Sus scrofa: one gene and its partner. Each later gene encodes a partner of the first gene's protein in a complex. Links are inferred from orthologs where the notes say so. Each region holds a gene or a part of one and is shown in the gene's direction. Other genes may lie near its edges.

Region 1 (4,578 bases):
TATACTGACCACTCCTAAAAGGCAAGAATAACCTCCTCCGAAGTTTTGGAACCCTTGGTGAAGAACAGGAGTGGAGGGCAAGGAGAGGAAGAAACAGAGTGGGGTCAGAATCGCAGGCCAGGGAGCTCCCATCGTGGTGCAGCGGAAACGAATCCCACTAGGCACCAAGAGGTTGCAGGTTTGATTCCCGACCTCACTCAGTGGGTTAAGGATCTGGTGTTGCCATGAGCTGTGGTGTAGGTCACAGACATGGCTCGGATCCTGTGTTGCTGTGGCTGTGGTGTAGGCCAGTGGCTACAGCTCTGATAGACCCCTAGCCTGGGAATCTCCATAAGCTACAGGTATGGCCCTAAAAAGCCAAAAAAAGAAAAAAAAAGAAAAAAAAAAAACCCTGCAGGCCAGGAGCAGGAGGGCAGTGACCTGCAGACAAACCTGGCCTACTCACTGCAGACAGTACCAGAGGGGCAAGGCTGGGTGTTGGGGGGGGGTGCCCTTCAAAGAACGCGGAGTGCTGCAGGGAACCAGAGGTCAAGGAGTCCCTCCAGGACCTCCTTCATGTGACACACCAGAGGATTTAGGCCCCCGGCAACAGGTAGACCTGTTACGTTGATGAACCCCCCGCCTTTGGCACAGTCCCTCGGTCTTTTTTTTCTTTTTTTGCTGTGCTGTGGCATATGGAATGCCCTGACCAGGGATCAGATCCCAGTTGCAGTTGCAACCCATGGCAATATCAAATCCTTAACCCCCAACCCCCACCCTACCGCTCCCCGTGCTGGGCTGGGGATCAAACCTGCATACCGGCATACCCGCAGGCCAGAAACGGGGAAGATGCCATTGCACCCCAGTGGGAACTCCTTGGCCTTTTTAAAGTGGCCACATGGGGGAGTTCCTTGGTGGTCTAGTGGTTAGGACTCCATGCTTTCACCGCTGCACTCAGGCCAAGGTTCAATCCCTGGTCTGGGAACTGAGATTCTACATCAAGCTGCTGCGAGCCACGGTCAAATTAATGAATGGCCACACACAGGAGTCCACCCTCGTAAAATATTTCCAGTTTCTCATTAGCAACCCTCAGCATTTGGCGCCCCCCCATCTCTCCTCTCATAGACCCATCTTCCTCTGAAGGGGCAAAGCCCCATGCACCGCTAAGTCTTTACTCTCGGCTTCCCCTGCCAGCCACACCCTTCTACTCCTTTCTGCCTGGAGAGTCTTATGTTCTCCGGGATCACTGAAGGAGTCTCCATGCCATAGCCAACAGCCACTTCCCACCCCGAGATCCCGCTTCCATCTCTTTTCGGATGGTGGTTGCTGCATCTGTCAGTGTCCCGCGGCCCCGGAATGGGTGCGACGGTGTTGTTTCGATCCGGAATCCCAACAGACGCCCAGGAAATCGGTACTACGTTTGTGACCCAGGCGGGCTCCCCCGTGCATCTGCAGATTCTTAGGTCAGGGCTCGCTCCTCCGCACCCTCTGAGCGCCTCGCGTTCGGGTGCGCAGCCGCAGTGGGCCCCGCTGACCAGCCGGGCTCCCCAGGGGGGCTGGAGGGGACAAGAGGGGCCTGGACGGCGAGAAGCCGCCAGCAAGGCAGGCGCCCAGCGCTCCCGGCTCACGTGACCGCCCCCCGCCCACTGCGGACCCAGTCACGTGACGGCCCAGCCGGCGAGCGTTTTCTCACGTGACGAGGCGCCAGCGTGTGGCCCAATGAGGAGGCGGGGGCGGGGCTGCCGGGGGCGGTGCGCGGGAAGGAAACCCGGGGCCTCCGCGGCTGCGGGGGAGACCCGGAGGGAGGGCGGCCGGGAGCCGGGGTACGGGGTGGGGCCCGCCGCCAGTCTCAGCCTGGTCGCGGGGAGCAACATGAAGTGTTTGGTCACGGGCGGCAACGTGAAGGGTGAGTTGAGGCCGGCCGGGGGCCGGGACACGTGGGACGGCCCAAGGCTCGAGCCCAACCCGGGTTTCTCCTCTCGTTCCCGCAGTGCTCGGCAAGGCTGTCCACTCCCTGTCCCGTATCGGGGACGAACTCTACCTGGAGCCCCTGGAAGATGGGGTGAGGGGCCAGGGTATTGGGGGAGGGTGGGTTTCCAACAGGGAACCCTAAACTGGGCTCGGAGTCTCGTTCCCATCAGGCAGGATGCTGTTATGCAGATTTGTCTGCTGAGTTACAGTTTCCTCCCCTGTTGTTGAGGTGTCGGCTTGGGCCCGGTCCTCTTCCCAGGCCGATGTGTGAGCTGAGAGCATCTGTCCTCACTCAAGTGTCTGGTGGCGGGTGGGTGACAAGGTAAAATGCGTAGGTGCTGAGGCCGACTCCGGGAAGGCGTCATGGTGAAGGTATCCGCTGACCGCCAGGAGAGGGAGGGTTTTCAACAGCTGATGGAAACGGAGGATAGCAGGGCAAGAGGGAGCAAAAGCCGGCCAGAGGGCTGGGCCTGTCACTGCTGGTGACCGCATCCCTCTCCCTGCTTTTCCTGGTCCAGCTCTCCCTCCGGACTGTGAACTCCTCCCGCTCCGCCTATGCCTGCTTCCTCTTTGCCCCGCTCTTCTTCCAGCAGTACCAGGCGGCCACCCCTGGTCAGGACCCATTGCGCTGTAAGATCCTGATGAAGGTGAGGCCCATTCCTCAGCCGTGGTCATGACTCCCCCAGGAACTCTGCCAGCAGTGTGCTTGCTCTGGGGCAGCTAGTAGGTGGCAGCTAGGGGGAGATATGTATGCAGGAGCAGGAGGGATCCCCTTCAAAATGCAGCAAGGGTGTAGTAAAGACAGCCACGGAGGGGAGGAGTTCCTGTCGTGGCACATTGGAAACAAATCTGACTAGTATCCATGAGGACACAGGTTCGATCCCTGGCCTCTCTCAGTGGGTTAAGGATCCGGCGTTGCTGTGAGCTGTGGTGTAGGTCGCAGATGAGGCTCGGATCTGGCATGGCTGTGGCTGTGGTGTAGGCCGGCAGCTGCCGCTCCGATTCAACCCCTAGCCTGGGAACCTCCATATACCGTGGGTGCGCCCCTAGAAAGCAAAGCAAAAAAAAAAAGATGGCCACTGGGAGTTCCCGTCGTGGCGCAGTGGTTAACGAATCCGACTAGGAACCATGAGGTTGCGGGTTCGGTCCCTGGCCTTGCTCAGTGGGTTAAAGGATCTGGCGTTGCCGTGAGCTGTGGTGTAGGTTGCAGATGTGGCTCGGATCCCACGTTGCTGTAGCACTGGCGTAGGCTGGTGGCTACAGCTCCGATTTGACCCCTAGCCTGGGAACCTCCATATGCCGCAGGAACGGCCAAGAAATGGCAAAAAGACAAAAAAAAAAAAAAAAGACGGCCACAGTGGGTGATGGAGATGTGGAGAGTGATTGATTCAGCCAGGGTCCTGGAGGGAGTGAGGTCATTCAAGTTGGTTCTTGAAAGCTAAGCAGATCTTTCGAGGTCTCCCAGATAAGGAGAACAGCATGAACAAAGGCCCAGAAGGGTGGATGTGTCTGCCTGTGTGTGCGTGGAAGGTCTTTTCCTGGTGTGACAGTGAGAGGGCCGGGGGCGGGGGTAAGGGGCCTTGAGAGCTGGTTGGTAGAAACATTAGGTGTGTGTGCCTCACCCAGTCGTTCCTGTCCGTCTTCCGCTCACTGGCGATGCTGGAGAAGACGGTGGAGAAGTGCTGCATCTCCCTGAGTGGCAGGAGCAGCCGCCTGGTGGTTCAGCTGCACTGCAGATATGGTGAGTGAGCAGCTGGCCGGCCCAGGCGTCTCTGCGGTGTGGAGGTGGAGGTCGGCGAGGCCCACTGAGACCCTGTCTGCCCATCCAGGGGTGAGGAAGACTCACAACTTGTCCTTCCAGGACTGCGAGTCCCTGCAGGCCGTCTTCGACCCAGCCTTGTGCCCCCACGTGCTCCGTGCTCCAGCAAGGTGAGCACGCCCCCTAGTTGCAGGCTGAGCCCTAGGTTTTTCTCTTCCTCCTTTGGGCCTCAAGGGTCAGTTTAAGAAGGCACCTCCTTAGGGAGTTCCCTGGTGACTCAGAGGGTTAAGGAGCTAGCACTGGCACTGGCACTGCTGTGGCTCAGGTTGCTGCTGTGGAGTGGGTTTGATCCCTGGCCCAGGAACTTCTGCATGCCACAAACCTAGCAAAAAAAAGGGGGCACCTCCTTCTTTTTCCTACAGGGTCTCTGTGAACTTCAGAGAGGTCATCCAGCTCTGTTTGCTTTCAGGTCCTTATCTGGCTCTTTGAAGGCAGAGGCTGGAGTGAGGAGGGGCCGGGTGTGCTCTTGTTCCACGTTCCTCACTGTTCTCTGGAGTCTGTATTCTCCACCTCAAAGGTCTGGCTTGGCTTTCTGACCACTCAGACCCATTCTGACTCCTGTTGAGAGAGCAGGTCTCTGGTCTGAGCACCATGGAACATCACTACGTTTTTGTGGCTCAGGGACTCCTCACCTTTCTCTGGCCTGGTCATCCTTCTGGGATGTTCCCCTTTGAAGGGCAGTCTCTCTTTCTGCCTGGTGGGGCTCTAGCCTTGAGGGGTCCCCAGGCCCAGGCAGGAGGCTGGGTGGGGGAAGGCTGCCTGAGTAAGCAGCTGTAGGGGTGGAGCTGTTCTGGGCATTCTGGGTGCCA
Region 2 (4,577 bases), on another chromosome or scaffold:
GTGCCACGATGAGAACTCCTCTCTTTTTTTTTTTGATCTTTTTAGGGCCCCACTCAAAGCATATGGAAGTTTCCAGGCTAGGGGTTGAATTGGAGCTACAGCTGCTGGCCTACACCACAGTCCCACAGTCACAGCAATGCCAGATCCTTAACCCACTGAGCGAGGCCAGGGATTGAACCCATGTCCTCATGGATGCTAGTTGGGTTTGTTACCGCTGAGCCACAACGGGAACTCCCTCTTTTATATTTCTTATAATATTTCACTTTATAAATTAAAGGATCTGTGCCCACAGAATCAGAGGAAAAAGGCAAATTATCCGTTGCACTATTGTCACACCACTGAAGGAAACATCTCCCAGTTCATGAGACCTCAGATAAAAGGGAAACTGCCCCCTTCAAGGCTCAGGGTACAGTTGTGCAGATCATGGCTGACATTCACTTAACAGGCTATTATCCTTCCACTGATTTAGGAAAAAAAAAAAAAAACATTTTCCCCACAATTTGCAAAATATTTATATGGAGACATTTTATAACTTGTAAGTACTTATTCATATTTTGATTTTCTAGGCATGCGACTCGATTAACTTTCAGAATCAAGACCATAATCCCTCTCTCCTAATAGAATGTGCTACCATCAATGTGCCCGGTGGTTCTGTAATGTTAATGGAAATCGGTTTTATCTTTTAAAAATTGTGTTTTGTTGATTTTAACAGATCCATGAATACTCTACCATAATGTAGAGTTGTGTGATTCTACTGAGAGGTGCTTTGAGAGACAGAGGAATAGGTTGTCTCTTTTTTAGGCTATCTGCAATCTCCCTAAAAATGATTGTCACACTCATATGACATTTGCCATCTGCTTAGAAGTCACAGACCTTCTCCACTCTGCCTCCTCCCTTTCCTTTACATCTAGGTTTCCTCTCCCTTCAAATCTCAGTTTTACCTCCACCTCCTATCTCTTCTGGCCTTCCTCCCTCCACCCATCAATCAGAAGACACTAGTACTGGCTTCCTACCCCTCACCCCAGGATATCTTTCAGGTCTAAAGTTTAATTTTCCTTTCTATTCAGACCACCCTCTACCTCCAATGGCCAATCCTTTCTAGCCCGGAACGGCTCCCGCGACCCCCGCGACCCGACCCCCATCCAGACCACATAGGACAAGGGTCTCCAGGACCGCGAGGAGGGCCCTGGGAAAGGGCGGGGTGGAGGCAGTGCAGCCTAGTGGTGAGGGCACCTGGGCGCAGGGACTGGGAGCTGGTCGGTGTCGGTTCTAAGCGGAGTGGGCTCAGATGGATCCCATCCGCCGTCTGCCAGAGCGAGCAGGCCGCCCTTCCTCCCAGGGAGGGCCCGGGCCGCTCCGCGAGAGAGGTGAGGAGGCCGGGAGGTGGTGCAGAAGCGCGGTGCAGCCCCGCCACCTCCCGCCGGAGCCGGCCCTCCGCGCCGTCTTGCCGCCGGGCCCCCGGGCCTCCCTCCTGCCGCCGCTCACCTCTCTGCACCGTCAGCTCTGGGCTCCCGGAGGCTCCGCGCTGCTCCCACCTGCAGGCCGGGCCGCGTCCCCGGGCTGCGGGGTGGGGAATCCCGGGATCCCGCCGCGGGGGGGGGTGTTGTCCCGGGCCGGGGCCGGGGGTGGGGTCCCGCTCCGGAGCTTTCAGTTTGTTCCGCTGTTTGAAATTGGCGCCGGCGGAGCGTTGCGGTCACGTGACGGGCGTGGCCAATCGGCGGCGGCCTTGTTTCCGCGATCCGCCTAGTCGTCTGGGCGGGCGCTGCGGTCCAGCCCGGCAGGTGAGGTTGCTCGGCAGGCGGGAGAGGCCAGTGAGGTGGCCCCGCCGGGCAGTGAGGTCGGCGGAGCGGCGGCGGGTGAGGCAGGTGAGCTGGGGAGTCGGGACCGCCGGCGAAGCCGCGGCGGGCGAGGCGGAACCTAGAGGTGCGGGCGCGCGGCTCTTGGGGAGGGCGCTGGAGGGCTCCGCTGCGGCGGGACGCGGGGACACTGGGTATCACGGGCAGGCCCCGCAGCCCTCCGGGCCCTGAGCAGTCGCCGCCCCGGGATCTTACCCCCTCAGCGACTTCCCAGCTGGTGGAGGGGATGGGGGAACTGTCCTCCGTTGACCTGCAACCAGCGACCGTCCGGAGCCCCTACCGGCCTTCGGGCTACTTGGGCGCAGTTGTGACCTTGTTCAAGCTCCCTCCTCCTCAAAATTTACATACAGGCCGCAAACTCCGCCTCGGCTCTGAACCTTCAATCCAAATCTCGTCCCCGGCCCCATGCTATCGTTTATATGTGGTAAATTACTTTATTATTAACTTAGGCAACACCTAAGTTTAGTTGAGCACCCATTGTGCACCAGGCGGCGCTAGGATGCAGTGGCAGAGGGGCCTTTCTCCTGAGCTTAAGGTCTGATGGGAGGAGAAAGAAGACATTTTCGAAGCAAATTACCTATTTAAACAAATGGAGAGTTCAACTGTGAGGTGATAAATTAGAACTCGGGGATCACATTGAGTATCTCCAGTAAGAGGATCTGGCCTTAAGGGAGGTGAGAAGAGCATTTCCCAGGAACTCATGCTTGGTCTGTGATCTGATACCTTTAGGCAAAGGTGGGAGGGAGACCCTCAAAGCAAAGGGTGGGAGGTGCTGCAGGGCAGTGTGGTAGGAGGGGAGGAAGGGAGGTCTGCACAGAGGCTGAAGCGTCTCTGAGGAGTGTGAGCTAAGAGACCTGTGCAGAGTGCGTGTGAGATGAAGCTGGAACCAGAGCCTCAGGACCTTAGCCACCACTGAAAAGTTTGGCCCTTACAGAGAATCAAAACATGTTAAGCAGAAGAGAGTCAGGATTAGATTTGCAGTTTAAAGAGTTCACGGAGGGGTGTGCCTGAGTAGGCCAGTTAGGCTATTGCACTGCCCTAGGCCAGAATTGTTGGAACTTGAAGGGTGTGGGGGCCAGAGGGAGTAGGAGAAAGAGGAGTAGGGTAATGTTATTATTTTTCACAAAGGATTACTTTTATCAAATTTTGGGTTGAACCTAATAAACAAGTCTCAGAAAAAATAGATGGCCACTAATGCTGATCCCAAGTTTAGTACTGAACTATCACTAAACCCTATAATTCTGTTTCCCCCCCTTACAAGTATAAATTGACATAACACATTATATTAGTTTCAGTTGTACAACATAATGATTTGCATTTTGTGTGTGTGTGTGTGTGTCTTTTTTAGGGCTGCATCTATGGCATATGAAAATTCCCAGGCTGGGGGTCAAATTGGAGCTGTAACTGCTGGTCTACATCACAGCCACAGCAACACGGGATCCGGGATCCGAGCTGCATTTGCGACCTACACCACAGCTCACGGCAACGCCAGATCCTTAACCCACTGATTGAGGCCAGGGATCGAACCTGAGACCTCACAGTTCCTTGTTGGATTCGTTTCCACTGTGCCATGATGGGAACTCCCTTGTTCTCTTTTCTTCATGCAAGTTTTTCTTCACATCTTTTCAGATAGGTCCTCCCAACCAGCCCTAGGTCTAAACAGCCCTAGGTCAGCTCAGCCCTTAGGCCATTTCCCTTTTATCTGTACCTCTTATCACTTCCCAACTAGATGTAAGCGCCACGAGGGCAGGGATTGAATTTTGTAATCTGGTAAATATTTTCAGCACATGTAACAGTGCCCAAAAAATAGTCATTCTGTAAATATTTATTGAGTAAATGAATGAACAAATGGATGTATTTATTACCTATGTTCCCCCTAAAATATTAGGGTACCCTCTACCCTTGAGGGTAGAGACTTAGTCCTTATTTTTCTTTACCTGCATCTCCACTGCTTAGTGACATGAGGGATGTTGCTTTTTTGTTGTTGACTGAATGGATGAGTCATGGCTGTATAGTAGAACCAGTCTGCCCTGCTGTGTGGACCTCTGGGATGCCCTGCCCTACCTCCTACTCTTCTGCCCACTGCATTCAGACTTTGGTCCCACCAACCATTGATAAGTTCTTACTAAAACTGATCTGGGGAGTTCCTGTTGTGGCTCAGCGGTAATGAACCCAACAAGTATCCATGAGGTTATGGGTTTGATCCCTGGCCCCGATCAGTGGGTTAAGGATTCAGCGTAGCTGTGCTGAAGGCTGGCAGCTATAGCTCTGATTTGACCTCTAGCCTGGGAACTTCCATATACCACACCTGTGGCCCTAAAAAGAAAAAAAAAGCTGATCTGGTTCTAGGTTCCCTGGATGCTTTTTCAGACTTTGTATTGCTTTGTGGGTCCTGCTGACCCTGCCTCTGTCTCCAGCCTCCCATCCCTACATGACACAGCCCATGTTCTGGCCTCATCTGCTCTCAGGTAATACAATAACCTTCTCACTGGTCCCCCTACTTCCAGGGCACTTGTTCTCTCCTTTCACGCTGCTGCCAGGACAACAGAAACAAACAAAAACCAGTTATGGCACTTAGGAGACAATTGAAAATTTGAACACTGGTTATTTGATATTTACTATTTAAAGAATCTACATATGTAAATATATATTGTATATTATATAGATACATACAAAATATAAATGTATGTATTTTATACATTTATGTTAAATGTATAGTGT

The links.
Region 2: the proteins of RAD9A (region 1) and RHNO1 are in contact, whole or in part, in a crystal structure (PDB 8WU8), measured with the Homo sapiens proteins. The link is inferred for Sus scrofa from reciprocal best matches to the Homo sapiens genes RAD9A and RHNO1. Residues at the interface, in NP_004575.1 of Homo sapiens: Val41, Ser44, Arg45, Ser46, Ala47, Tyr48, Glu130, Leu132, Gln133, Ala134, Val135, Glu165, Tyr181, Glu183, Thr216, Phe217, Cys218, Gly244, Pro246, Val261, Leu262, Ala263, Thr264, Leu265, Ser266; in NP_001239428.1 of Homo sapiens: Thr88, Lys90, Phe91, Pro92, His93, Leu94, Thr95, Phe96, Glu97, Ser98.

What each region holds. Positions count from the first base shown.
Region 1 is NC_010444.4:5,126,884-5,131,461, reverse strand, and holds the start of RAD9A (cell cycle checkpoint control protein RAD9A), read left to right. Parts: upstream 1-1,721; 5' UTR 1,722-1,851; coding exon 1,852-1,885; intron 1,886-1,970; coding exon 1,971-2,041; intron 2,042-2,468; coding exon 2,469-2,597; intron 2,598-3,576; coding exon 3,577-3,691; intron 3,692-3,779; coding exon 3,780-3,879; intron 3,880-4,578. UniProt on the Homo sapiens protein: Component of the 9-1-1 cell-cycle checkpoint response complex that plays a major role in DNA repair. The 9-1-1 complex is recruited to DNA lesion upon damage by the RAD17-replication factor C (RFC) clamp loader complex.
Region 2 is NC_010447.5:67,243,291-67,247,867, reverse strand, and holds the start of RHNO1 (RAD9, HUS1, RAD1-interacting nuclear orphan protein 1), read left to right. Parts: upstream 1-1,717; 5' UTR 1,718-1,865; exon of another isoform or gene 1,866-1,923; intron 1,924-4,577. UniProt on the Homo sapiens protein: Involved in microhomology-mediated end-joining (MMEJ) DNA repair by promoting recruitment of polymerase theta (POLQ) to DNA damage sites during mitosis.